Linked DNA regions of Cricetulus griseus. The protein of the gene in region 6 interacts with the protein of the main gene of each other region in a pairwise test. Links are inferred from orthologs where the notes say so. Each region holds a gene or a part of one and is shown on either strand. Other genes may lie near its edges. The genes, in order: Lage3; Zgpat; Dock2; Pimreg; Josd1; keratin, type I cytoskeletal 40; Rwdd2b.

What was found.
Region 1: the proteins of keratin, type I cytoskeletal 40 (region 6) and Lage3 interact in binary tests that used the Homo sapiens proteins (3 or more experiments, as listed by UniProt). The two-hybrid records come from large-scale screens. The link is inferred for Cricetulus griseus from reciprocal best matches to the Homo sapiens genes KRT40 and LAGE3.
Region 2: the proteins of keratin, type I cytoskeletal 40 (region 6) and Zgpat interact in binary tests that used the Homo sapiens proteins (3 or more experiments, as listed by UniProt). The two-hybrid records come from large-scale screens. The link is inferred for Cricetulus griseus from reciprocal best matches to the Homo sapiens genes KRT40 and ZGPAT.
Region 3: the proteins of keratin, type I cytoskeletal 40 (region 6) and Dock2 interact in binary tests that used the Homo sapiens proteins (3 or more experiments, as listed by UniProt). The two-hybrid records come from large-scale screens. The link is inferred for Cricetulus griseus from reciprocal best matches to the Homo sapiens genes KRT40 and DOCK2.
Region 4: the proteins of keratin, type I cytoskeletal 40 (region 6) and Pimreg interact in binary tests that used the Homo sapiens proteins (3 or more experiments, as listed by UniProt). The two-hybrid records come from large-scale screens. The link is inferred for Cricetulus griseus from reciprocal best matches to the Homo sapiens genes KRT40 and PIMREG.
Region 5: the proteins of keratin, type I cytoskeletal 40 (region 6) and Josd1 interact in binary tests that used the Homo sapiens proteins (3 or more experiments, as listed by UniProt). The two-hybrid records come from large-scale screens. The link is inferred for Cricetulus griseus from reciprocal best matches to the Homo sapiens genes KRT40 and JOSD1.
Region 7: the proteins of keratin, type I cytoskeletal 40 (region 6) and Rwdd2b interact in binary tests that used the Homo sapiens proteins (3 or more experiments, as listed by UniProt). The two-hybrid records come from large-scale screens. The link is inferred for Cricetulus griseus from reciprocal best matches to the Homo sapiens genes KRT40 and RWDD2B.

What each region holds. Positions count from the first base shown.
Region 1 is NC_048604.1:1,362,682-1,365,879, reverse strand, and holds Lage3 (EKC/KEOPS complex subunit LAGE3), read right to left. Parts: upstream 1,863-3,198; 5' UTR 1,829-1,862; coding exon 1,593-1,828; intron 1,286-1,592; coding exon 1,157-1,285; intron 830-1,156; coding exon 715-829; 3' UTR 501-714; downstream 1-500. UniProt on the Homo sapiens protein: Component of the EKC/KEOPS complex that is required for the formation of a threonylcarbamoyl group on adenosine at position 37 (t(6)A37) in tRNAs that read codons beginning with adenine.
Region 2 is NC_048599.1:540,403-544,568, forward strand, and holds the start of Zgpat (zinc finger CCCH-type with G patch domain-containing protein), read right to left. Parts: upstream 2,801-4,166; 5' UTR 2,525-2,800; coding exon 1,944-2,524; intron 1-1,943. Other genes in the region: Arfrp1 (ADP-ribosylation factor-related protein 1), read left to right, coding at 3,478-3,570, 3,859-3,946, 4,135-4,166. UniProt on the Homo sapiens protein: Transcription repressor that specifically binds the 5'-GGAG[GA]A[GA]A-3' consensus sequence. Represses transcription by recruiting the chromatin multiprotein complex NuRD to target promoters.
Region 3 is NC_048600.1:49,789,972-49,793,952, forward strand, and holds the start of Dock2 (dedicator of cytokinesis protein 2), read right to left. Parts: upstream 2,801-3,981; coding exon 2,668-2,800; intron 2,482-2,667; coding exon 2,398-2,481; intron 1-2,397. UniProt on the Homo sapiens protein: Involved in cytoskeletal rearrangements required for lymphocyte migration in response of chemokines. Activates RAC1 and RAC2, but not CDC42, by functioning as a guanine nucleotide exchange factor (GEF), which exchanges bound GDP for free GTP.
Region 4 is NC_048600.1:85,882,761-85,887,034, forward strand, and holds the start of Pimreg (protein PIMREG), read left to right. Parts: upstream 1-1,474; coding exon 1,475-1,759; intron 1,760-3,360; coding exon 3,361-3,635; intron 3,636-4,048; coding exon 4,049-4,144; intron 4,145-4,274. UniProt on the Homo sapiens protein: During mitosis, may play a role in the control of metaphase-to-anaphase transition.
Region 5 is NC_048595.1:376,857,760-376,861,700, reverse strand, and holds the start of Josd1 (josephin-1), read left to right. Parts: upstream 1-1,141; 5' UTR 1,142-2,051; coding exon 2,052-2,236; intron 2,237-3,941.
Region 6 is NC_048600.1:113,048,948-113,053,114, forward strand, and holds the start of keratin, type I cytoskeletal 40, read left to right. Parts: upstream 1-1,367; coding exon 1,368-1,814; intron 1,815-3,082; coding exon 3,083-3,165; intron 3,166-3,465; coding exon 3,466-3,622; intron 3,623-4,167. UniProt on the Homo sapiens protein: May play a role in late hair differentiation.
Region 7 is NC_048597.1:9,901,857-9,904,377, reverse strand, and holds the end of Rwdd2b (RWD domain-containing protein 2B), read right to left. Parts: intron 2,477-2,521; coding exon 2,242-2,476; 3' UTR 501-2,241; downstream 1-500.

The DNA.
Region 1 (3,198 bases), on a different chromosome or scaffold from region 6:
TCCATCCCCTATTGTCCTTTCTTATCCTCTATTCAACCCCTTCTTCTTAACAATTACATCTCCATTTTCATGTCTTTCATTAGTGCCTCACTGAATTTAATTAGGGTTGCTTGCATGATCATGGATGTGGGGTTATTTACAGAATTATGAGCAACTTAACAGTGGTTACACTACTGAAGAAAAACAACTCCATTTCCCCAGCAGCCATAAACTGCCAATATCTCCTCAGAAGAGGGGCCTCATGATATTGCTACACATTTATTATATTGATAAAATTCTAATACCAAAAGTTTCCCAAAGTGAGCCCCAAATGACAGGGTGCTTGTGTTTTTAATTTTCCTCTATTTCTGTAATTGTCTTCTTCTACTTTCTACTAATGTAGTTTTTCACTGCTGAGGATTGAATCAAGGACCTCACAACATTAGGTGAATACTCTTATTTTATACAACAAATACCTCTCCTCCAACACAAAGAAAATCTTGAGGTTGAAAATACTCAAATACAGATTAGAAGCACAGCTTTATTTTCTTCAGCAACATTTGAGCACCAAACTAAACAAGTGGCCCCTAAGTGCCTGAGGACCAAGTCAGGCAAAAAAATATTAGGCCCCACATTTAAGTAGCAGGTACTATTTCTGGAATGTTTTCCAGAAAATTGTCTGCTTTGGAGGGAACCGACATAAGGTCAGATCTGAGCCCCTTTTCCCAGGCAGGCTTAACGAGAAACTGGGGGCCCAAAGCGCTTTATGGTGTTCACCACTAGGGCGAGCTGGTCAAGAAAGTTCATGATGGAAATTCGGAGGAGGCGAGAGTCTTCTGAGATCCAGTGTCTAAGAGTGAGGAAAAAGAATATTAAGTTTAAAATAGTAATTCTTATCCTTCTTTCCTTATTTATTTTGGAAAGAGAGAGAATCTCACGATGTAGCCCTGGCTGGCCTGGAATTCACAGAAATCTGTCTGCCTCTGCCTCCTGGCTCCTACCTTTCTGGATCTTCCCTCAGGCTCCCACTGTACCATATCCTGCAGGTAAAGACTGGTCCACTGCACCAAGAGTCTTCTTAGAAGTCACCCTAGTGTGCTGTCTCTAAGGAAGTGCAGTCTTGGGTAGAGAATAGTCCAGCCACCTACCCAGCATGCCAGACTCTTTCAGCACTTACACCTCCAGCATGCAGCCGCTGACTTTAAGGTCTTTCCCCAAGATTCCTCGGTGCGGTTCGGCATCAGGAGCTAGGGACCCACAGGCGATTTCTGCCTCCAAAGAGGTCGGGAAAGGCACTGTAAGGGCACTGGTAGAGACTCAGGAAAGGCACCATGTTGAATCGTTTTCGCCTACTTGGCCCTCTAAAACCATCTCATCTGGTCTAAGCTCCCCAGACTACATCTTGCACATTGCTTGGGCAATTCCTGTTCATTCCCTCCACCCTCCGGTTCCCCTCCCCCTGTTATCTTCTCATGCCCAGACCTCCCGTGGTTAACAGACCTCAATCAGCCGGTCCCCCTGCTCCCCTCCACCCCACCCCCGTCTCCAGACTACCCCTTTTCCCTCCTGAAGCATCCCTAAAGTGACCCAGTTGTCCCTGTCCGGTAGGATACAATCTATGATGTCGGATTCCCGGCCTTTGGGTTAAAGGAACAGTGCTTTTGCTCCAACCGGAGACTTCCGATGCTCGTGCAGCAGGGTGAGCTCCACTGGGAATAACTGCCACTGCGCCTGCATCACCGGGACAGCAGCAGCTGGTCGGGGAATCGGCGCCATCTGCAGTGTGGCCTAAACTGTGTGCTGCTTGCATGTCTACCGCTGCTCCACCCTCCAAGCCACCCTCCGCCATCGCTACGGCCCAGAGCCCGCCTTATCCTCCGGAAGCTCCGCCCTCGCTCAGGCTGCCAATCCCACATGCACCTGCGGGAATGGGCGGGCGACAAAGTTGCTAAATTGGGTCGGTCCCCATCTGGAGGCCTCTGTTGGGATCTCTAAGAGATTGATCTAGTCTCCCTCAGCCTCCAAAGTGCCATACCACATCCAGCTTTCCCTTCAGTTTCTTTTTAAAAGGGATCTAAGGAGCCGGGCATTGGTGGCAGATGCCTTTAGTCCCAGCACTCGGGATGCAGAGAGAGAGAGAGATATCCAGGCTGTCCTGAAACTCACAGATACAAGCCTGCCAAGTGTGCTGGGATTAAAGGTGTGTGCCACCACCATCTGGTTTAAGATTTATTTATTTTTATTTTATGTGTATAAATGTTTTGCCTGTTTTTACATGTGTGTAGTGCCTGTTGTCCATGTGGGTACTGGAACTGGAATTATGGGTGGTTGTAAACTTTTATGTGAGTTCTGGGAACTTAACCCAGGTCTTTTGCAAAAGCAGCAAGTTCTCTTAATCACTAAACTATCTGTCTAGCCTCTCTCTCTGCATCACACCTTCAAAAGCTCTGAGATTGATCTTCTTCTTGTCTACAGCATATCCCCCACAAAAGTTTCTAATTTCTTTCTTTTTCTTTTTCTTGATTTTTCGAAACATGGCTTCTCTGTGTATTAGCCCTGGCTGTCCTTGAACTAGCTCTGTATAACAAGCTGGCTTTGAACTTCACCTCCTGGCAAATTTAAGATATCTTTTACTTATTCTTTGACAATTTCATACATGTGTACAATGTTCCTTGATCCTACCCATGCCCAACTCACTCTTCTCACTCTGTCTAATTTCTAGTATAGATTAAATCAATGCTTAAAACCCTGTATATTGGGCTGGGCGTTGGTGGTGCACTCCTTCAATCCCAGCACTCGGGAGGCAGAGGCAGGCGGATTTCTGTGAGTTTGAGACCAGCCTGATCTACAAGAGCTAGTTCCAGGACTGCCTTCAAAGCCACAGAGAAACCCTGCCTCTAAAAACAAAAAACAAAAAATAACCAAAAAACCCTCAAAAAACACAGACACACATACAGACCAAACACTCATACACATAAACATTTTTAAAACTCTTAAAATAAAAAAGGTCATGGTGGATTGGATAGAATTTATTTGGTACACCATTTATGTGGCATTTCAAGGTTCTGGTTTCATTCCCATTATCACAATCAACCAACCAACAATCCCTGAAACGTTTTCTAGTGGCACTTGGAATAAAAACCAAAGCTTTGCAGTAGTTTATAAGATCCCTGTATGATGTGGCTCCAGTTCCCCCCTTTTTTTTGCCCCTATGCCACC
Region 2 (4,166 bases), on a different chromosome or scaffold from region 6:
GACATACACCAAAGTTATGGTAATGCAGGTGGAGTTAGTTAAATTTATTTTTAAGAATCTAAAGCAAGCTGGGCATTGGTGGTGCACGCCTTTAATCCCAGCACTCAGGAGGCAGAGGCAGGTGGATCTCTGTGAGCTCGAGGTCAGCCTGGTCTCTAGAGCAAGTGCCAGGATAGGCTCCAAAGCTACATAGAGAAACCCTGTCTCGAAAAACAAAAACAAAACAAAACAAAACAAAAAAAATCTAAAGCAAATTCAAGAAAACAACTCATTCATCCTGGATGGTTGTAAAGATGGTGTTAGATGTTTTATTGTCTTTTAGTTCTGCCCTAAAATTGATACCACAAGCAGCTCCTTGTGATGAAGTGGTCTCACGGCCAGCAACATTGTACCGATCACTTAGTGCTTTGGTGTCTGTCTCTCCATCTATAAAGTGGGGTGGGGACTGACAAATGGTTTGACAAGTAAAGGTACCTTCTGCCAAGCTTGATGACCTGAATTCAATCCCCAGGGCCCACATGGTTGAAGGAGCCTACACTCAAAAGCTGTCTTTTGACCTACACATGAGCACCATGGCACATGCATATATACATACAAAATAAAATAAAACAAAAATTATATAAAATGGGATGAGTTCAGGGCCTACCCATAGGTTCGTGCACAGAGAAGTGAGCATATGTCAGTCAGAGAAAGTACTTAGAGGTATTAAATCTCTCATCACAGGGCTTCCCACAAAAAGACTATGGCAGATAAAGCAGCCACTGGTTATAGCAACATGTGTATTCTTGGAGAAAACCCACTGAGCACACTGATCATTTATGCACCTATAGGCATGAGAAGGAAAGAGAGTGAGCAAGGAACATGTCAAGTCTACTAGGATCTAAAAAAGATGTGCAGAGCCAAGCTAGGTAGCACATGCTTGTAATCCTGGCCCTAGGGAGGTAGAAGCAGAAAGATGAAGAATTTAAAGTCATCCTTGGCTATATATGGATTTCAAGGCCAGCTTAAAGCTACATGAGATCCCATGTTAAAGAAAAAGTAAAGAAATAAAATGTGCAGAGTACAGATGTAACCATGGAAGTAAGAGCTTAAAGTGATGTAAGAGAACCACAAACCAAGGAATATAGGTGGTCTCTGGAGGTTGGAGAGATGGCTCAGTGGTTAAGAGTATGTGTAATGTTTTTGAGGAAGACCCAAGTAGTTCACTACCAGTAGTCCTGAAGCTCCTGCTTCAGGAGATCCAACACCTTCTTTTAGCCTCCTCATGCACCTGTACTCAAGTACACATGTATTCACAAACACACACACATACACACAATTAAAAAGAAAAGTAAGTATATAGAGCTAGAGAAATGGCTTGGTGGTTGAGAGCATACTGCTCTTGCAGAGGACCTGAGTTTGTTTTCCAGGATCTATGTTGGGTGGCTCATAAGCACCTGGAACTCCAGCTGTAGAACATGCAACACCTTCTGGCACCTGTACTCATGTTCACATACCCACACAAATACACACAAAAATAAATCTTAGCTAGAAGTGGTGACACACGCCTTTAGTCCCAAGCACCTGGGAGGCAGAGCAGGTAGATCTCTGAGTTCAAGGCCAGACTGATCTACAGAGCGAGCTCCAGGACAGACAGGGCTACACAGTGAAACTCTGTATCCAAAAAAAGAGGGAGGGAGGGTGGGAGGTGGAGAGAGAGAGAGAGAGAGAGAGAGAGAGAGAGAGAGAGAGAGAGAGAGAGAGAGAGAGAGAGAGAATGAATATAATGTGTTTACTTATGTGTTTACTTAACAGGGAATGTTCCTGTTAAAGCCTGTCAGCCACCTGAAGCTCCCCCTTCTCTTTTATCAATTCTGCGGGGTGGAGAACAAGTTGTGAAGGCGGCAGGCCACAGCAGTGGTCCTGCTCGAGTGACCCTTATTGCTAGTAGCAGAGGGCTTTACCTGCAGTTCTCCTTGAAGCGGCATTTTCCCTCCAGGAAGAACGGGCAGGGCTTCAGGGACTTGTGGGTAGGGTACAGGTAGAGTACGCGAACGCATGCCGAACCATCCTCTGCCTCTTCAGTGCCCACAACCATTGCGTTGTGATACTCTAGCGTGCCCCAAGCGCTGTGGTAAGGGGCATTCACTTTAGCACCGCTCAGCTCCTCCTGATCTGGATCCTCCTCGTCTTCCTCCTGTGCAGGGGAGGTGGGTCCAGGCCGCACCACGCTCCCAGGGACAGTCTCCGAGTCATCCACGGGGGCGACGGGTGCCTCCCCTTCCTCCGCCACAGCCTTCTGGAAAGCCAAGTACTCAGCGTCCTCCTCTGCCTGGTGCTCCAGGTCCACTGTAGCCAGCAGCTTGCTCTTCCTGACCGACAACAGGCTGGCCTCGGTGAGCTCTATCAGTTCCTTCAGATCGCCCTGCAGCTGGCGCAGGTCCGCAAGCTCGGAAGCGTCCAGGCCAGCACCAAGAGCCAGCTCTACCTGCCCGAGCTGGGCCCGGTAGGTCTGCAGGGCCGTCTCCAGGTTGTCCTCGTCCATCGCTACACCGCGCAGGCTAGTTTCGGAACCGCTAAAGCAGACGAGACCTGAGGGAAGAGCAGTCGGCAGAGCTCAGGACAACGCCGCCCCCTCCCCGGCCGCTGGAGAGGCTGAGGAGGACCTCGGCGCTGCCAAGGGAACCGCAAAGTATCCCACCGCGTCCTCTGCGGTCCGCAGCCCCGCCTCCCGCCGGTGCTCGCAGCCTACAAGGGCTTCCGGCCTCGCCAGCAGAGCCCTCGCGCTAGCCTTCCGCCCGCCGCGGGCACTTCCGCCCGAGAGCTGATGCTGCCGGAAGTGCCCGCGTTCGGGAGCCTCCGGGATGGGGCGCGCGGGGGCCGTCGGGATGCGGCTCCGCCCTCTCGTACTCAGTCGGCCGGTCGGTGTCCCGACAGGCACCGCGCGGGGTCAACGCGAGGTCGGTGGGGTTTGCGACGCGACGACGGCGTCTGCGGCTCCGAGATCTGAGCAGGTGCAGGTGGGTCTCCGCCGGACTGAGGGGCCGGGGTTCCAGAATCCTGGGGTAGGGGGCAGGGAAGCGGCTTCGGCAGCTGGTTCTTTGGCTCCGTGGGCCCGGCAGCGGGGGGGGATCCAAAGGCGGCCCACTCAGAAGCTGACTCTCTGGTAGCTACGACAGTCGAAGTTCCCAGTGCTGAGTTGAGGGTCCGGAAAAGAAGCCTTAGGAGGGCGGAGCAGGGTAGGCCGCCATGGGTTTTTCAGGACTGATGGTGTATTCACAAAGATGACCCGCAGTGGGAGTAGTGGCCCAGGTTTAGCGGGTGGTCGGTGGTGGAGGCAGGGTCCGGAATCGGGGGCTGGGGAGAGGGGGGCAAGGAGTCGCGAGCCACGAGGCTCCACATTTGAAAACTAGCAGGACCGACGGACCACTGATGAAGCGGACAGGAGGCCGATAGCCCTGGTACACACCTTGACATTTCTCAGGGTGCCAGGGCAGGATGTACACGCTGCTTTCGGGGCTGTACAAGTACATGTTCCAGAAGGATGAATACTGCATCCTGATCCTAGGCCTGGACAATGCCGGGAAGACAGTAGGTGCCTGTTCTCTCACCAATTCCCTTTCCCTGCCTTATGTTCTTTGCAAATCTAATCCCTACCCAAGACTACAGGTTAGTTGCCACCAGCCTCCCGAAGAGCATTCAACAGGCAGAGGTTCGTGTGCATGTGTGTATGGGTGTGAAGGCCTGAAGTTGCCCAAACCATGTGGGTGTGAAAGCCTGAATTTGCCCAAAGCATATGGATGTGGAGGGATATTTAGAAAAGACACCAGGAAACTGCTTTAGCTGCCACTACCTAACCACCTTTCTTTCTTTCCTCAGACCTTCTTGGAACAATCAAAAACACGGTTTAACAAGAACTACAAAGGGATGAGTCTATCCAAAATCACCACTACCGTGGGCCTAAACAGTAAGGGGGATATGAGCTTGGGTCCCTTAGAGATGCAAGCCCGTACGTAGCCCAGCTGGCCAGGGGCCAGATCCCTCTCTGTGCATGCCTGCTGGGATTGGTACCAGAATGGTTTTCCTCATTCCAGGAAGAGCTGGGACTTTGTAAAGAGTAAGGTCAGGAGCTAGCTCATTCTATCCTCTCCCCAGTTGGCACTGTGGACGTGGGGAAGGCTCGTCTC
Region 3 (3,981 bases), about 63 Mb from region 6:
CTAATCCCATCCATTCTAGGCATGCAAAAATTCAGCTTCCAAGTGACCACGACCCATATTGCATAGATAGGTACCCATACTGGTTCTCTTGCAGATTTACTGGGTGAAAGAAAGGAACACAAAATGCTGACCCTGAGTCAAACACCTTTAGTCTCCCTTTTTTGATTCAGGTAACAAGTCCAGGAGCAGTGTGATCACAACTCTTCAGGTGAGGAACCCGAAGCCCCTGAGCAGAGATCCCTGAGCTAGTAGAGGAAGTACTATTCTGATTCAGATGCTTTGAAAACAATCAGAAAGCACAAAGTGTGACATAATTATCACTCAGTGTTCCAGCCTCCCAAAGCTAATCATTGTTAGCCTTGAGATATTTAAAAAGATATATTTTTGGTCTAAATAGATAGCTTATACTAAGTAATTAAAACTGATGAGAAGATTACAATATACAAAAGTTTTTCTGCAATGGGTAGTATTAGATGTGTAAAACATAGGGCTGTACTGTAGCTAGGGTTGTACTGTGGGAAGGGGTGGTAAATTTAGAATAACAGGCCTGAGTCTACAAGAAGGTATCCCCTTACCCACCCACTCCTCACCATGCCCCCACCCACTTCCTGAACCACACTCATCTTGAGTATTCAAAAGGCTTTAAAAAGCCAAGGCTGGGATGCTTCCTAGTCCTGGGCACCCTATTAGTTGTAACCCAAAAAAAGAATCCTGCCAAAGCATATGACCCTACACGCAAGCAGCTCTCAGGTTACCCTCTTCAAAGAAAGGTTTTCTATTTGCTTGTTTTCTTGGTTCGCATCTGTTTTTATGTGTACATGTTTGTATGTGATTTTGTGTGTGCTTGTGAGTGTGCTATGTTTATGGGTAGCTGTGAATTCACATGAGTGTATCTTTGTTGGGAGGTTATAGGTGTTTGTATGAATGTCATGTTGGTGTGCATGCATTCATAAACAACTCTGCACACATCTGCAGAGAAGCAGGGGCTCCACTGCCTAAGAAGCCTCATGCAGCTTATCCAAGATCGCAGAGGACTCTACCTATCTAGTGGGCTGATATGAGTCCTGAGTAGGGTTCTGTGTTCTCCAGGATGGAGGGCAGTGTCTGGTCTGTGGAAGTGACAAGACGGCTCGTGGCTCCTGTGTTCCAGCAGAGGCCTATCCTGCAGCACACCTGTCCCTACCATCCTGAACTCCTTTCCAGGGCCTTGTCTGATGGATTCACTGGGAGATGGCACAGCTGTGTTCTCAGACAAGTCTCTGCTTCATCCTTTGTTCTGCCAGCCACAGGATACTGCTTCTACTCTGTGTCTTTTGTGCAGAAGTAGTCATAAGCTGGCCCAGCAAGGGAGAACTCTGGAAGTTTAGCCTGGGTGTGTGGGATGGGGGTTTCTGCTGATCATCAGTGACACATTAACAAACTCATTACGTTATCACACGCCAGTCCTGCCAATAATATCAAGTGTGTCAGTAACATAGATGATAATTTCCAGTTGCCTGTTTTTTAAATCTAAGGTCATTAGTCTTCTAGAAAATATTAAGATGCACCCCTTCCCACAACCATCGAGGGTGAACTAGACTCAATATACACTTAGCTTCATGACCAAATGGATTTGCAGGAGTCAAGAGTTGCAACTTTACCCACATAGCCTCAGCTTGGGTCCCTCCTCCATTGGGAGCTACGTTTATATAACACTACTGTACGGCACGGCCTCTCTCTCTCAGAGTCAGGAGGATAATTTACGGCACCCTCCTGCATCTTGATGATGCTTATTTTTCTTTACAATAGTGTACATATTAATAAAGAACTACATCTAGAAAGATCCAAAGGCCCAAAGTCCCATAGTCCCCTGACTGTGGCAAATGCAGAGCATAGCAAACATCAAGTCAGCCAGCTAGGCCTTTGTTATGAAACTAACATTCCTAAAATAATAAAACACTTTTTTTGTTCAGTAAACTTTAATTGCAGTCATTTCTCAAAATACTGGGGAGATTGGCTCCAGGATTGCCGCACAAAAGCCCACAGATATTTAAGCCCCTTATATAAAATGGTACCATGTCTATGTAGACCATATGGAGGTCCTCACATATTTTAAATCATCTCTATGCCATTTCTAACACCTAATATGTGGCAATGTCATACAAATAATCATAGTGTTATGTTGTTTATGGAGTAATGATATGAATTGAATATACATATTGCAGAAGCAATATTGTCTGTTGTTGGTTGAACTCATGGATACAGAACCTATGGGCACAAAAGGCTGACTGTAATACATTAGCACCATGTGTCTAAACATGTCATGCAAGTGCAGACCTAGAGAGAGTACTGAAAGTACCTGGGTTCCTATGGTGAAGGAACCAGCATCTGAGGGGCACATAGTCAACTACGACTCACCTCCACAGGTCTCCTGTATTCGCACCACATCGCCAATCTGTAGGGTGAGATGCTGGGCTCCACTGCCTTGGAAGTTGTAGATGGCTGTGAAATGGAACATGGAGACAGTCAGTTAGACCTCTAGGTATCTTGACTCCTTGCTCCACCTTGCTTCCTCTGCCTTCAGTGGACCTCACACTTATGAAGCCCGCATGGACTAAAGAAAGCCAGTGCAAAAGCCAACTGCCTTCTTCAATCATCAACCGGACCCTCTTAAAAACTGAACCTAACCTCTTCCCACATTGGTCCTGTACTGTAGTCTTGGTGACAGGAGACTGCTTATACCATCCACACATCTGGCCTCTTGCTGTGCTCCAGGCATGAGGTTGCGTATCTTCTTCTTCCCTCCCCACAAGCAACCCATTGTGAAGCAGGAGCTGTGAGGCCAGAAATGGAATTCTGGCCAAAGTAGCCAAGATGAGAAATGCCAGGAAACTCTAATCTAACTTCCATACTCTCACCCTCTAAGCTGGGCTGCCTTCTGATCCCCATCTCCCCATCTCAGCAACAGAATCCTAACATGCAGGGCTCTCTACTACTCTGTTACCAACCACACAGTCCCCCTTGTCCAATAAGTAGGACAGGATGAGCTAGTGGTTTGAAAACTACCAGATTGCGACACTGTTTAAGGTTGTGAGCCTTTAAGATGTTCTGGCTGGTGGAAACGAATGACTAAGGGTGGGCCTTTGATTATGCCTTTTGTTAATTCCAGCCGTTGTTTCCTGATCTATTCATATATGACAAGTCATTGCCAGGAGCTTCCAACCACCACATAGCCCTTCTGCTATGCCTTCCACCCATGGTGGTCAGAAATTCATTTGAAATGGTGAGCCAAAATAACACCCTTCCTCTGAAGCTGTTACATCAAGCATTTCATCACAACAAAAGAAAGCAACACAAAACATCTGATTCCTAACCAAGCACAGCCAACCTAGAGCTCACCAGAACAAACCCTTCAGGCTCCTGCAGGCCACAATCACACTGTTCCCTAATGGTTGTAGTGTTCATGGAGGAGCACTTAACATTCAGGAATGCATTCCCATCCATGGACTGGAGATTTAACTCAGTAATAGTTAGCAAGTAATAGTAATAGTAATAGTTAGCAAGTGCAAGGTCCTGGGTTCAGTCCCCATCATGAGGGTGGAAGTCAGGGGTAGGGATTCCAAAAAAAAACAAAAAACAAACAAACAAACAAAAAACACCAAGGGAACCTGCTTTCTCATACAAACTGTTAGTTCCTGGGTTTAGGAGTTGTCACAGACTCCTCTAGTCCTTTGGAATCGCCCACACCATTGCAGGGAGGAGTAGGTTGTGCAGTATCACTGTCATAGTCTCCTTTCCCCATGGCGATGGCAGTCTTGATGATGGCTGCCTGAGTCACTGACATAGGTTCCTGGAGCTGTGAACAGCAGAAGGACCCTGTCTCAAAAAGTTTTGAGAGGTGTGTGTGTGTGTGTGTGTGTGTGTGTGTGTGTGTGTGTGTGTGTTCCCTGCACGACTATTACATCTCTAGCTCTGAACACTCACTTACAGAAGCAACTTTAC
Region 4 (4,274 bases), about 27 Mb from region 6:
TGTGATAGGTAGGGTTTTAGTTGGGGGGGGAGTGGCAGGGGAGGAGGGAGGAGAGGAAACTGGGATTGTCATGTAAAACAATCTTGTTTCTAATTCAAATAAAAAATAAAAATAAATAAAATAAATAAAAAAGCAGAACATCAAAACAACAAAAATAAAAACTGGTACATGGGAGAAATCATAGCAGGCTGTTTGTTGTTGTTGTTGTTGTTGTTGTTGTTGTTGTTGTTGTTGTTGCTGTTGTTGTTGTTTTAAGCTTGCTGGGAAACTAAGGGAAAGATGGAAAGATGTCTGGGGCAAGACCAAGCGGAGGACCTGACTTAACGGGTGGAGAGGTGGTTCTACAGTCTGCCCCCTCCTCTGAGATGTGCTTTCTTGGGTGCCAGCCGGGTGGTGAGTTTGAGGAAATGACAGGGGCTGGGCGGTCTCTCAGGAAGGAAGAGGTTCAGGCGGGGGAATTTGAAACAAAACTTCCCAGGGAACGCAGAGTTCGGCAGTCCCAGCCGAACATTCTACAAAACTACTGGATGCGGGAAGTTAGGTGGGGTGAAGGACGGAAGGGATGCCCTGGGTGGCCGTGACCTGCGCTCTCGCAGCATCCCGCAGAGCAGCCTGACCGTAGGCTCTGGGAAGGGCCTGGACATGCGATGGACAAAGCGCGACCACTGGGAGGTGGCAAGGGGACTGGGCGGTGACTGACTGCTGGAACCTTTGCTGCGATCCAGGCGGGGGTCCCCAGAGATGTATGGGCGTGGCCCGGCCAATCCCAAAGCACGATTTATGGTCGCGAGAGAAACAGACCAATCGGAATTCAGGGGAGGTGGCGGCGGAGGGCTGATAGGGCCAATGGGCTGCGAGCACCAGGCTGGGGCGGGGCCGCGCGGAGTTTCAAATCTGCAGCGGTGGGCGAGGAGCGGGTGTTGATCTTCGGGTCCCCGGTATCAGAAAGGGAGGTGAGCGCACGGGGACATCGAAGGGCTTGGGGGGCGGGGTGCGGGGGGGACTCACGGGCAGCTCTGAGAGCGGAGCGGGCCAGGAGCTCTAGACAGGACCCGCAACGCAAAGGCGGTGTCTGGAAATTTAAAGCACCTTATCGGATTCGAGGCTTTGGCGGGGTGGCCAGAGTCTGCTCCATAGAGGAGCACGAATTTGTGAAAGAGCCGCTTGCTGATGGTGTCCTGCATAAGCGCCGAGACTCGGTAACCTCTGTGCCTCTCCGCTGAGCCTTAGTGAAGGAGGCTGGGATGGAAGTCAGACAATTTGCCGCCTTACAGTCGAGGCAGCTGCTGACCATGACGCCATGGTCATCTTTCTGGCATCCACAATTGCGCAACAGGCCCACCCAGATATGTTCCACTTCATCCCTTCCCCAGTTCCCAGGGTCTCTGACGCCTGGGAAATAGGGCCAGGGAGTATTCTGTTGACCTTTTGACCTCTCCAGGAACTAACCAGCAGAGGAGACTGGACCAAGCACATGGCGTCTCAGTGGCAGGGCATGACGGCCTCCATGCGCAGAAGATCACTCCTAAAAGAGGAACATCTAGAGAAGACGGTGACCCGGTCTGCTGAGGGCCATCAGGAGACTGGTCCCCTGGGCTCCCTGTGCAGACAGTTCCAAAGGAGGCTGCCACTGAGAGCTGTCAGCCTCAACCTCGGCACTGGCCCCTCCTGGAAACGCCTGGAAACCCCAGAGCCAGAGCAGCAGGGTCTTCAGGCTGCAGCTCGTTCCGCCAAAAGTGCTTTGGGTGCTATGTCCCAGGTAACAGTGACACCACTAGCCATTTGTTTACAGAAGTGTGCTATCCTCAGGAAGGCCCCAAGAATATAGAGTCAGTGGGGTCTTGGAGTTTGATTAGGTCCTGGCAGTTTCCCCCAACACCCTCAGTCATTCTGGCACATAATAGTTTTCCAACAAATCAGTGAGTGAGTGAGAAATCTCATGGAAGAAATTGATGCTCTCCGTGCAAGGTAACCTGCTGTGCCCTATGAGAGGAAATTGCAAGAAATGGCTAACTATAAAGAGATGCCAGTCTCAAGCTTAGTGGATAAAGACTCCCTAGAATAAAGACTTCCAAGATAACTCGGGAAAGGGGCGGTATATGGAGGCGCAGGACCAGGAGGATGGTGTGAGTCCAGCCTGGATGCTGAAGTGGCCTTGGTGTGAGGACTAAGTCACAGTGAGTGGGGACAGGGATGGTGTGTGATGACCCCTGTCTAGATTCTCCCAGTCAGACTACTTATTTCACTTTGGCTGTCAGCTACTTGGTGGGAAAAGGCAGAGGAGCAGGGCTTGCAGAAGGGTGCAACTTCTTGAGCGGTTCAGAGGCAGATTTGAGGGGTGGTGTCTGGGTGCAGTGTGCCCAGGAGCAGACATCTTTTTTAATGTTTATTTAAATGTTTGCGTTTATTTATGGGAGGAGAATTCACGTAATGGTATTCGTCTGGAGGTCAGAGAACAACGTGCAGAAGTACGTTCTCTCCTTCCACCTTGTGGATTCTGGGGATCAAACTCGAGTTGTCAAATTTTGGTGGCAAGAACCTCTACCTGATGAGCTATCTCACTGACCCCACACAGGTCTTTAACCCTGGAGTGGAAGATGCGGGCAGGTGTGCCCTGGAAAGGGCAGCAGCTATGAAAATGAGAATACCTGCAACGAGAGAAGCGGGGGGGGGGGGGCATCTCCCTGGGCATTCTGGTGGTGTGGAGAGAGAGCAGAGGCTCTTGGCAATGCTACAGAGAGGCCTCCTAGCCAAAGTCTAGCTCTGACTTGGAAGAGCCCTAAGATTGCTTTCAACAAATATAGCTCAGAGCAATGAAATGTGACATCTTGTCTAAGGTCACCCAACTCATCAAACTTACCTTGGGCCTTGCTCCAACCTCTGGGCTCTGATTTGCCAAGACAAAGGCAATCTAAGCAGAACTGTTTGATCAGGCCACATGTAAAAGATCCAAGGGTTGGGACTCGGCCCTGTAGATTATAGGGAGCCATAGAAGGGGTTATGATCAGAACTGTCATTGAAGGATCTGTGTGGACTAAGATGGAGGAGGGAAGAGAAGGAATGAGAGCAGAGGGGGATGGCAAGGGGTCCAGTAGTCAGGAAACTGTACCTCCCTCATTGTCTGGGTTAGTCTCTCCCAGAGGGCTTCAAATGTGGAGCCATCTTCTTGCGACTACCTGTTGTGTCCCTGCGCTGGGCCTCTGGGAAGGTCTTATAGGGAATCATACTCACTCTTAAGACTAACAGCAGACTGTATTAGTGGGACAGACCCTAGGATGGAGGGATAGCAAAAGGCTGGCAGCCCACCTTGGTCCTGTCTCTGCTAACCTCTGCTAACCTTCCCACATGAACCCATCACAGAGGATCCAGGAGTCCTGCCAAAGTGGCACCAAGTGGCTAATGCAAACACAGGTCAAAGTGAGGAGAAAGCGAGGAGCCCAGAAGGACAGAGGATCCCCGCCCAGTCTGAGCCAGAAGAACACTCGGCTATACAGGGCCAACCGGGATGCCAGAGTCGGGGGACATCCTCGCCTCTCTGGCCAGATGGGTCCACATGCCCATCGACGTCATCGGCTAAGGAGGGAGGCTGCCCTCCAGAGCCCCTGTTCCTCCACAGAACCTCTCTGCTCTCCCAGGCAAGTAGTCTCCGAGCCCAGTGTGATTTCCCTTTCTGTCCCACAAGTCTCCTCAGTGTTACCTAGGGTGAGGACACTCTGACCTGTCATATCCCTGTTCTGGCTCAGATCTGCCCCAGAGCTAGTGAGGACCTGAAGGGGAAAAAACCTCTCCAGAACTGTTTCCCTACCTGTGAAAGGGACAGGAGATGAGTTCTACTCCATTCTAGATAGGAAACATCTAGAAATCCCAGGCACTGGTGCAAGGCCAGCAGCAACCGTCATCTGACTACAAAATAATTTTCCATGGCTCAGCCTCACAGGTTTGCATGTCACATGCTGCAGTGAGGCTCTAGTGAGGCTTTCCCAGTCACCCGGGGTTGCCTGGCCCCTGCTCTGGGCTCTTGCTAACCCCTGCATCCTCTTGTGTTCAGTGAGTCTGACAGTGACCTAGAGCCTGTGGGGGCTGGAATCCAGCATCTCCAGAAGCTGTCACAAAAGCTGGACAAAGCCATCAAGGCTGAAGAGAGGTGAGCTGCATCCTGGGGTGCATCAGGGTGAAATGGCCATGGGCCCCTTGAGCCATACTGTATTTCTAGAGAGGGTTCTGGTTCCAACACCAATCTGCCACATGACCAAGACCAGTCCCTGTCCCTCTGG
Region 5 (3,941 bases), on a different chromosome or scaffold from region 6:
CCTTAATTCATTACAGACAGAGTGATTTCAAACAACTTAATCAACTTCTTTGTGCTTCAGTTTTCTCCCTCGAAAAGAGAAATGCCTAATGTGACACTTGTCTGTAAACGAGTTAATTTATATATACAAAGCATTTATAATAATGCTGGCTGCCCAGCAAGTCCCTAGGAGCTAAATCCTATGTAAGTACACTGCAATTGATTGGTGGTTTACAAATCACAGAAACTTTTATAAATAGTTTAGGTAGAGGCAGAGGACTCCCTACCACGTGGTAATCACTTATAGCACAACAATGTTGATTGGAATAGTCTTTTGAGGTGTTGGGAAACCACCGCTTTGAAAGTGTAAATCTGTTGTATTCCAAACAAAAATCCAAAAAGAAGGGAGCTAGAGACAATGACAATTTAAATTTATGGGAAACTTCAAATAGTCTGCCTTTTTACACAATGTACTCAGCTAAACTCAGAAAATAGGAAGCCCTCGTTGGTAGAGTACCAGGCCCTGCACAAACTAGGTATTCTTGGTCATTTAATGAGTTCGAGGCCAGCTGGGCTAGGACACACACACACACACACACACACACACACACACAAAGGAAAGAAGAAAACACAAAAAGGAAGGCCTAGTGACAGCCACCAAGAGGAGGTTGCAGAGCAAAAGGGAGTGGTTTGTGTGGAGTGAACGTGAATATGACACTAAGGATCTGAAATAGAACGCTCGTTTCCATTTGAAATATGACTCCCGGCGACGCTCCTGCCCTCCAGCGCTCAAACAGGAGGCGGTCGGGTTCACCAACCAAGATTATGCCCGACCGCGTTGGTAAAATGTTTGGAAATCCGGTGAATATAAGTGAGCCAGGGCAGCAGCCGCTACCCAGGTTCAAGAAAGCACTCCGCCCGGAGGAGGGCCATGCGGCGTCCAGGCGGGAGTCGGAGCCGAGGCGGAGCTGCAGAGAAGCTACTGCAGCCCTGCGGGTCCGCTCCCTGCACCACAAGCCCGGGGACATCCCCCTGCAGCCGGCGCAGGCTTCACACGGACGTCAGGGGTGACGCGAGGTTGGCGGGCGGGGTCAGCGCGGGGGCGTGTCTGGGGCGCGCGCCGTGCGAGCGCCGCTGACGTCGGGCTCAGGTGCGCGTGCCCGGCCGATCTGCCTCCTGCTTGCCCGCGGGCGGCCCAGGTGGTGACCAGAAAGCTCCCGGTGAAGGCGAAGGGGCGACGAACGGTCCCCGTGAGGCTGGCAAGGAGAGGGCGCCAAAGGTCGCCTCACGTGACAGGGGGTCGCCGCGGGTACGGCCAGTCGGGTGGGCTAGGACTGCGTGGGGCGAGGCGGGCGTCCGGCCGCACCCTCGCGGGCCAGGCGGGACCTCCTTGCCGCGGCGCCCCGGACGCCGCTCCCCTTCCCCGGCCCTCCCGCGGCTCCGCCCGCACAGAGGCAAAGCGTCTCCTCCGCTGGGCCGAGTCCGCCAGCCTCCCGGCGGGCATGGAAAACTGTCCCCGAAGCCCCCGCGCGGCCCGCGACCGCACGCCCGCAGGCCCTCGCTAGCTGTTGGCATCGGGCGTTTTCTTCATCAGTCTTCGGAGTCTGTGGCGTTGAGATTCGGACGAAATGGAAGAAAAGGAGCGATGTGACCCATTCGGTTTTGCCCTCCTGCATTGAGGCCTACTTGGCATCTGCAGAGAGGAAAACACAGTCAGGAAAACGTGTTTTTTTTTTTTCCACCCCCCCCCCAAAGGGGGTAGGAGGGGAGGGTAGTGAAAGGGAGGAATCTTGCGTTTTATATGTTCTTTTTAAATTCTGCACTTTGAAAGTGGTGGCTAAATAAACTAATCCAAAAGTTTTGTTTTTTTTTTCTATCAAGAAGACAGAAGAGGTGGATTTTTTTTTCCCTTTTGATTCCAACCTTTTCTCCCAGTGACAAAGCATAAATCATGGACACTAGAGAATAAGGTGAACCCTCAGGAATCTGAAAACAGAGAAGCCTAGACCTTCTGAATCAGGAGGGAAGGAGTGGGGTGTTTATCAGCTCTGTCTGGAACCTAAATCAAAAAACATGAGTTGCATGCCATGGAAAGGAGACAAGGCCAAATCTGAATCCTTGGAGCTTCCCCAGGCAGCACCCCCACAAATCTACCATGAGAAACAACGCAGGGAGCTCTGTGCCCTTCACGCCCTCAACAATGTCTTCCAGGACAGCAATGCCTTCACGAGGGAAACGCTGCAGGAGATTTTCCAGAGGTAAGGCTCCCTTGCTTGGCATTCTCGATCCCCACTTCTTGGTATTTCTGAATTTGTGTGGGTGGTTCAATGCCTCAGGGACAGAAACCTTCAAACCTACAGGTTTGGAATTGGATGCTGTCTGACACCATAAGGAGGACAGGAATGGGAGATGATCACCATCTCTGGTCCATTTGTTGTGGAGTAGCCTCAGTAGTGCTGTTACCACGAATCTGGTCAGATAGGGGACTCCATGTTGTGTGTGTTACTCCCATTTTGTGGTGAAGACAGAGCTCTGCAGAGCTCCTTAATTTCCTCCAAATAACCCAACAAGCCATGGACTCAGGGTTGAGTTCAGGTTCATATCTCTGCTGGTGGTCACTGATATAATGCCTCCCTTCCAGACCCTGTTACCAAGGAATTTACAGTCTAGAAGGGAGACAAGATTCATCCACAGGCAACTGTCACCAAAGGTGGGATGTGATGGGCACCACAAGAAAAGTGTACCCAGAGTGCATAGCTTTTCTGAGGCCATGCATTGGCTGCGGTGCTCTTCATACATTATTTTGTATGATGCTCCTCACCGTTGTTTTACTGACAGAGAAATGGACAGAGTAATTTGTCCTAAGCAGCTTCTAAACAGCAGAGCTGTGAGAGGAGCCCACTCTATATCTCTCCTGCTGCTGTATGGTGACCTTCTTGGGGCTGGTGAGAAATTGAGTGATGATGGAGTGTGCACATTATGCAGAAGGTCCTAGGTGCAGCCCCTAGCACTATGTCCCCAAAAGAAAAATGATTGCCTTTGGGCCCCTTAGAACAAACACATCACTCCACAAGTGGTCAGAGTTCAGCTTTATGCCCATTGCTTTGGCTTTTGAAAAGTCTTTTACCAGCGGCCTTGAGAGTTGTGTAGCATCTTGCTGTACCGAGCAGCATGACTGCAGTCTGTGGCAGCTTTGACGGTGAGCCTGTCTTATCCCTGCAGCTGGAAAAGGCTTGGTATACCCAGATCTCAGGCAGAGCAAGTTCATGGATGCTTTGAAATTCCAGAGGACCTTTTTAATAATCCTCATTTAGAGACAAAATAGCTGCTGCACAGCATTACGGCTAGAATCAGCCTGTTTGGGGTGATTTGTGGAGCCTAGGTGTGGACCACTTATCCTGAAGGAACCATAGGTCTCTCTGGAAAGAGCTCCAACCTGAGTGCTCTTACACAACTATAATGAGAGTAATTCTTTCCCAGTGCCAATAAAGACCATAGTCTACCTTTGCCTTAGCAGGACACATGTGCCATTTGCTTTATGACCACTATCTGCACTTAGAATTCATTCCTTAGGAAAATGTGTCTTTGACCATCCAGTCACGTGACAGAAAGGAGGACACAGGCTTCTGACTGCTTCCTTTTGGGCAGCTGTCATGTTTCTTCTGGGCAGTTCTGAATTGTTTCCTAATCTATAACCAGGGAGAAGGAAATGACTCACCATGAGTACCTGAGTATGTTTGGTACTTTGTAGGGTATACTGACAACCTCAGAGCAACCTTAGCAATGATCTGAGGAAGCAGGACAAGATTATGGAGTTGCCTAGTTTTACCCACCAGTAAATAAATGTTAGATTATTTACAGGTTAGTTAGTCATATTATGTAGTTAGTTGTACTCAGGTTGACAGATTTTGACCTCTATGAGTTTGGCTCCTGGACTGACAGAGGAGTTAACTATCTTGAGAC
Region 6 (4,167 bases):
CATATATGTAGTATGAACAATATGAAAGGTTCAGGCATTATGCTGGCCTGCCCCTGTTACCTGGTGGAATCCACTCAGGCAATACCCTGGTCAGCCCAAGGTTCCATGGGAAAGAAGTCTGCACGCAGGTGCAGAGGACCCCTTTAAAAGATAGGCCCCTGCACCTTTCTCTCTCTCTCTCTCTGCCCCTTTACGCTCGCGCGCTCTCTCTCTCTCCCCCTGTTCCTGCTCTCTGTCCCCTCTCTCTGTTTCCCCGCTGTCTCTCTATGGCGACCGGCCATGGCGGTCAGCCATTACCCTGTCCCTCTTAGTCTCCCCATTCCATTCTACCGGGCCTTATAATAAACTTATAGTCTTAAGTCAATATGTCTGTCTCAATATTTCTCTTTTCTTCTTTTTAAACAAAAGAATAACACAATACCTTATGTCTGAGCCTCAACACCAAAATAAATGAATGATAACAGCTTTTTAAAAGTAGCATAAGGAATCTAACATGGAAATACGAGAAGGCAAAGCTTATGTGTATGACCATCCACTCTGAGCATATCCAATCTCAAAAACTAAGCAGGGGTGGTCATGATCACTGTTTGGCTAGCGATAGAATGTTTGAGATAACCAAAGACCACAATTCAGATCTTGACAACCACTTTCTGTCTTGGCTCACAGGACACAACTTATTCTCATTGTTGTATAAAATGATCTCACGTGCTTTACACTCAGTATATACACCTTTCTCTTTACCATGTAAGCACAGGCTTCAAGGACACACACACACACACACACACACACACACACACACCACACGCACGCACGCACGCACGCACGCACACACGCAGGCATGCATGCCCTTCACGATTGCTAACTATCATTGTGGTGGCTGGTAGCACAAACAAATACATGCAATTTAATGAGCTGTGGTGTCCACTTTTAAAGTAGACAAGAGCAATCGATTTTCAAAATCAAAACCTATGGAAATATTACTTTCTGTATCTCTAATGAGCTCTACCTATGATTACCAATGGCTCAGATTTTCTCTTGGGTTCCTTATTCTTTCAACGGGATAATGTTTCCTATGGCTATTCGCTAAAATAAGGATTTTATCCAAGCAACACGTGGAAATGACAGTCGTCCTGATTTAGTAACCTGAACTTATCCTCCTTTTACGAGGCATAAAACTTCCTCGGTAAATAAGCAACACTAATGAGATGTTTGTAGGAAAACTAGCACCCGCGGTGCTAGAGGAAACATCGGTGTGGCCTGTAAACACCCATTTGAAGGGTGATATAAAGGTCTCAGGGGGGGAAGGAGATGTTTGGAGACAAGACCTCGGCACTACAGCATCCGGTCTGTTCATTCCTTCACAGAAGATGGCTTCTGATGGCTCCCCTGGGTGCTGCTCCTCTGAGCCCTGTGCAGAGGCTCCGGACTGTGCGGCTGCCTCACCCTGTCCCACCGATACAACTTGCCTGCCCAGTACCTGTGCCACATCCAGATGTCAGACCCCGAGCTTCCTCTGCAGGGCTCACCTCTCAGCCGGTCGCCTCTCACCCTGCTACTTCGCTGGCGGTTGTAACAGTCCGTGCCTGGTGGGGAGCTGTGCATGGTGCGAGGAAGGGGCGTTCAACAGCAATGAGAAGGAGACGATGCAGTTCCTGAATGACAGACTGGCCAGCTACCTGGAAAGGGTGAGAAGCCTGGAGGAGAACAATGCGGAGCTCGAATGCAGGATCCGAGAGCAATGCGAGCCCGATGCCCCATTGGTGTGCCCAGATTATCAGCGTTACTTCGACACCATTGAAGAACTCCAGCAAAAGGTTGTGTGTCTCATTCCCTAATGTTCTCTGTTTCCTGTTTCAGAATTCTCTTATATTTACAGTGGCGCGGGTTGTTTTATGGATGTAAAACCAGGGAGGAGGGATTCCCAGAGCTGGTATGCTGCCAGGAAAAGAGGGCCATAGATGGCAAGAAATCTGTCTCAGTATCAGCACTATTGACCATAGAAATGTCATGTCTGTGTGTAGACTATGTCATCTACAGAGAGGGGGAATCTGAATTATGATATCTAAAATCTGTTCTGCATGTATCATTACTTATTTATATTCCTTATCAAACAGACATCAAATGCCATCTCTTTTAGTTCACCTGGTAATCATTTTCCTTTCGTGTGCATGTAGAGAGGGAATACATGCTGTCAATGAGGCCTGAGGTCAATGGCAAGCGTCTTCCACTCCCCGCCTTGTGTTTTGAGACAGAGTCTCTCAAGGGACCTGGGGCTCACTGATTTGACTCACTGGGTGGCTGGCCAGAGAGTCCCAGGGATACTGCTGTCTCTGTCTCCCCTTGCAGGGGTAACAGGCACACACTGCTATACTTAGCTTTCTATACATGAGTTCTACGGTTTGAACCTGGGTCCTCCTACTTGTATTGCAAATGCTCTACTGACAAAGCCTTCTTTCTTTTTTCATTGATGAATTTCTATGACCACAGACAGAGATGCAACTCTAATAAATATTAGCAGTGGAGAAAACTAACAAAGCTCAGCTGTCAATGATGACTGCCAAATGTCCTGCCTTGTGTCACTTATAAAGGAAACCTTGAGATGCAGAAATGACTCAGCAGTGGATAGCAGCACTGTAGCGCTCATGAGCAACCTGAGTTCAGTTCCCAATACCCATATATGGCAGTTCACAACCACCTATAAGTTCATCTCCCGAGGACCTGACACTCTCTTCTGGCATCCTAAGGCAAAGAACAAGTCTACACACACACACACACAGAGTCAGAGAGAGAGAGAGAGAGAGAGAGAGAGAGAGAGAGAGAGAGAGAGAGAGATCAAATACATACACACTCTCACACACAATTGGAAAAAAGATAAAATCTTTTTTTAGAAAGAGAACCTATTTTTATGTCTGTATTTTGTTTCTAAATTGGCACTGCATGTCTCCTTTTTTCTCCATGGTATAGTTATAGGCTGAAAATTATGTTATGCTAATTTTGTTAAGCTAATGAATGGCAGACTGTTAAAACAGAAATGTGGGTTTCTTCCAAAGAGCTGTTGATTACATAATGACTTGCCTCTTAGATACTGTGCACGAAGGCAGAGAATTCTAGACTTGCCGTACAGGTGGACAACTGCAAACTGGCTGCTGATGATTTTAGGTCAAAGTAAGTCAAATTGTATTTATTTTTTAAACCACATTGTATTTTATGTATACAAATTGCATTCTAAATCTTAAATTTAATTTGAAAATAATAATGGCCTCCAGTGATAGAGAATTCTCTGCATGAGATCTTTTTTTTTTAATTTAGAATGTTTGAAACTTGAATTCACCATCATTTGGGATACCCGGGGAATTGTGACATGTGTCTCCCTGGAGGCCACATGTCACTCATCCTTGTACCCCGGCACTTTGGTCAGTGTTTAGCCAAGTAACACACTCCCTTTTCTTTCTCTTGCTGTGAAAGGTATGAGAGTGAACTGTCTCTTCGCCAGCTGGTGGAGAATGACATCGGTGGCCTTCGTGGGATCCTGGGTGAACTGACCCTGTGCAAGTCAGATCTGGAGGCCCACGTGGAGTCCCTGAAAAGTGATCTCCTTTGCCTTAAGAAAAGCCACGAAGAGGTAAGTGAAGTGGCCACTGTGCCAAGGACTATAGGGAGAGTTCTACCGAGAGATTTCATGGGTATAAACTGAACCAGGGCAGACACTGACTAAGCTGGAACAAAACCAGAGGCAGGCCCACTGTGTGGTTTGAGCATCCCAGTGTCTCTCAAGGTAGATGTGACATACAGTGTGTATTGTTGCATAACATCACCCGCCCCAAGTGCCAGGGTGAGGCCACTCTCCCTCCTGCCATTGCTTGGGTGAAGAATTAACTCCACTAATGGCTATTTCTGTAGCTCTACTGTACAACAAGAAAATAGAGCTGTATCCACTTCCAAAAAAGGAATAAATAGTCATGCAATATTAGGAGTAATATTTTTTAGATATTGTACATTTATAATCTTGTTTCTATTATAAGCTTAAGAATGAAATGCAGAGTTACATAATAAAGTAAAACAAAAATGTATTCTTTGCATATTTTGATGGTAGTAACAGCTGACAATTACAGATACCTTAGCATTTCTCAAGAATTTTATAAATTTATTGTCTAACTCTTCCCTGTT
Region 7 (2,521 bases), on a different chromosome or scaffold from region 6:
AAGTGTCTTGCTGTGTCTCTTTGAATTCTACACTGTGCTTTATAATAAATACTATATTTTATCTACTCATTCATTCAGTGGGCATTGAATTGGTTACCAATTCAAATAAAATAAAATTACAGAAAGTCATGTCCAGAATGAAAACTTATCAAACTCTAATTTGCAAAAACTAGATTCCATGAATTTAAAATCTGAACTCTCAAGGACTTTTGGAAAAATTCTGAGTTCAAACCAGGTGTAGTGTCACACACAATTTAATCTCAGCAGTCTGGAGGTCGAAGAGGACAGATCTCTGTGAGTTCAAGGCCAGCGTGATATAACAGTAAGTTCCAAGCCAGCCAGGACTATACATTGAGGACATGTCCTAAAAAAAACAAAGAAATAACAACAACAAAAAAAAGTGTTTGAGCTCTGCTCATGCCTCTCAGTCTTCAGTGAAGCAAGTACAAATAGGGGCCAGGTCTAAGTACCTAGAATTAGAAATGAACCATAAACACCGATGAGGAAAAACAATTTATTTTTGTAGGTTATAGTTTCAAAGTCAAAGCTTTGGTGGTGGGGGGTTTGACAGATTAACTTTTGGCTACTGATAACAATCACAGAGACTTTAAAAGTTCATTTTATGACCGGGCACTCTCAATGCAGAGAACACCCTCCCATCCTATGTGTCCTCCTGCTTCCCAGCGGGCGGTGGGCCCTGAGAAGCTCACCTTTGAGTGGAAGGCAGAAAAAATGGCTCGAGGGAAATCCCCAGCCATTGGTTCCCACAAGACAAAAAGAAGGAGAGTACAAGGAGGAAGAGTGATTGAGTCCAGATATCTGCAATATGAAAAGAAAACTAAGACGGTTTCTGCATCGGCTGGAGGGAAGCCACCTGAGGGAAGGAAGGCCGGCACATTGCCAAGGAGCAAAGAAGACAGCCAAGTGGCAGGAACGGGAGACCTGCACCATGCTGGAAGGACATGACACAGATTCACCCGGCCTCGGTGCCTTGTTCAAAGACTGAAGGAAGTTCCAGTGATGCAGTTTTCTGAAAATTTTGTGCACTTTCCACTTGGGACATCATTAGCACTTCTGGGTTTCGTTTTTGTTTGTTTGTTTATGACAGGGTCTCTCTGCAGAGCCCTGGCATCCTGAAACTGAGTGACTGTGATTACAAGGTCCCCAACCTCTGTCCTTGCTGTTTTAAAACAGCCTTAAATTCTGATTGGCTGGGCATGGTGGCGTCCACCTTTAATCCCAACACTTGGGAGGCAGAGGCAGGAGGACCTCTGTGAGTCCAAGGACAGCCTGGGCTACACAAAATAAATAAATGAATGAATAAATGAGTGATAAGAAAATTCATTTTATTCCAAAGGCCTGAAGATCACCAGGGATTGATGTTGGTCCCCGGATGGTAAGGGGGAATGGCACCTCTGCAGCTGTCTTGGGCCATCCTTCCCTGTTGCTGCCATCACTTCAAGATTCATGGCGAAAGAGAAGCAAATAAATCCCCAGAAATCCTGCAGCTGCAATTTATAGCCGGATATAGTTTCAACAGAGACCAAGGGCAGACAGCTTTCCCAGGTTCCTCAGTAAAGGCAGACGGGTGTCGGAAATGCCTAGCAAATTGGACCATCAAAACTGCCTTCATATGTCCTTTGAAAGACATATAACTTGTCTTTCAAAAGTTTCTGTGAATACTTTATTTTTGTTTTCTAAGACACAGCCTTATGTAGCCCAAGCTGGCCTTGAACTCCAGATCCTCTTTTTCTCTACTTTCCAAGTACTGGGATTACAAGCATGTACCATCATGTCCAGTTCATGTCAAGAATTTCCACCAGGTTGAAGAGACGGCTCAGTGGTTAAAAGTATGCACTCCTCTTGCAGAAACCCAAGTTTGGTTTCAGTACCCACACTGGGCAACTCACAACTTCTTGTAGCTCCAGCTCTCTGGGATCTGATGCCCTGAGTACATGTATGTGTGTATGTTTGTGCATGCACCCGTGTGCAGGACAGAGGCCACCAGATACCTTGAAGGTATGAGTTACAGATGACCACCACTAGCTGCCTGCCATGGCCGCTGGGAACTGAACTTAAGCCGGTAGTGATAGAAGTGAACGCTCTTAACCTCTACGCCATTTCTCCAGCCTGCTCTGTAACATTCTAGGATGGAACTAAAATTAAAATTTGAGAAAGAATGAGAAGACATAATCAAAGGAGGAACAGGGACTCCACAGGTCCGACAGCCCCTTTGCTCAGTCACTGTCCTTCCACACCAAAGTACATCTGGAAAACATCCCCACAGCCCCTGGCATTTAAGAACTGATACAGCTGACCAAAGTCCATGTGGTTTCCTCTGGCTCCATGGACACTGAATACCTTTTCTTCAAAACTGGCAAATCGCCGCTGTTTCTCCATTCCATCCTTTGTGCCATCCAAAGGCATGTCTTCTCGATGGCGAATTAAAATTCTCTTCCAGTTTAGTTTTCTGAGTCTGAAAAACAGGTTTTCAAAGTAGAATTTATAAGATACAGTTCTC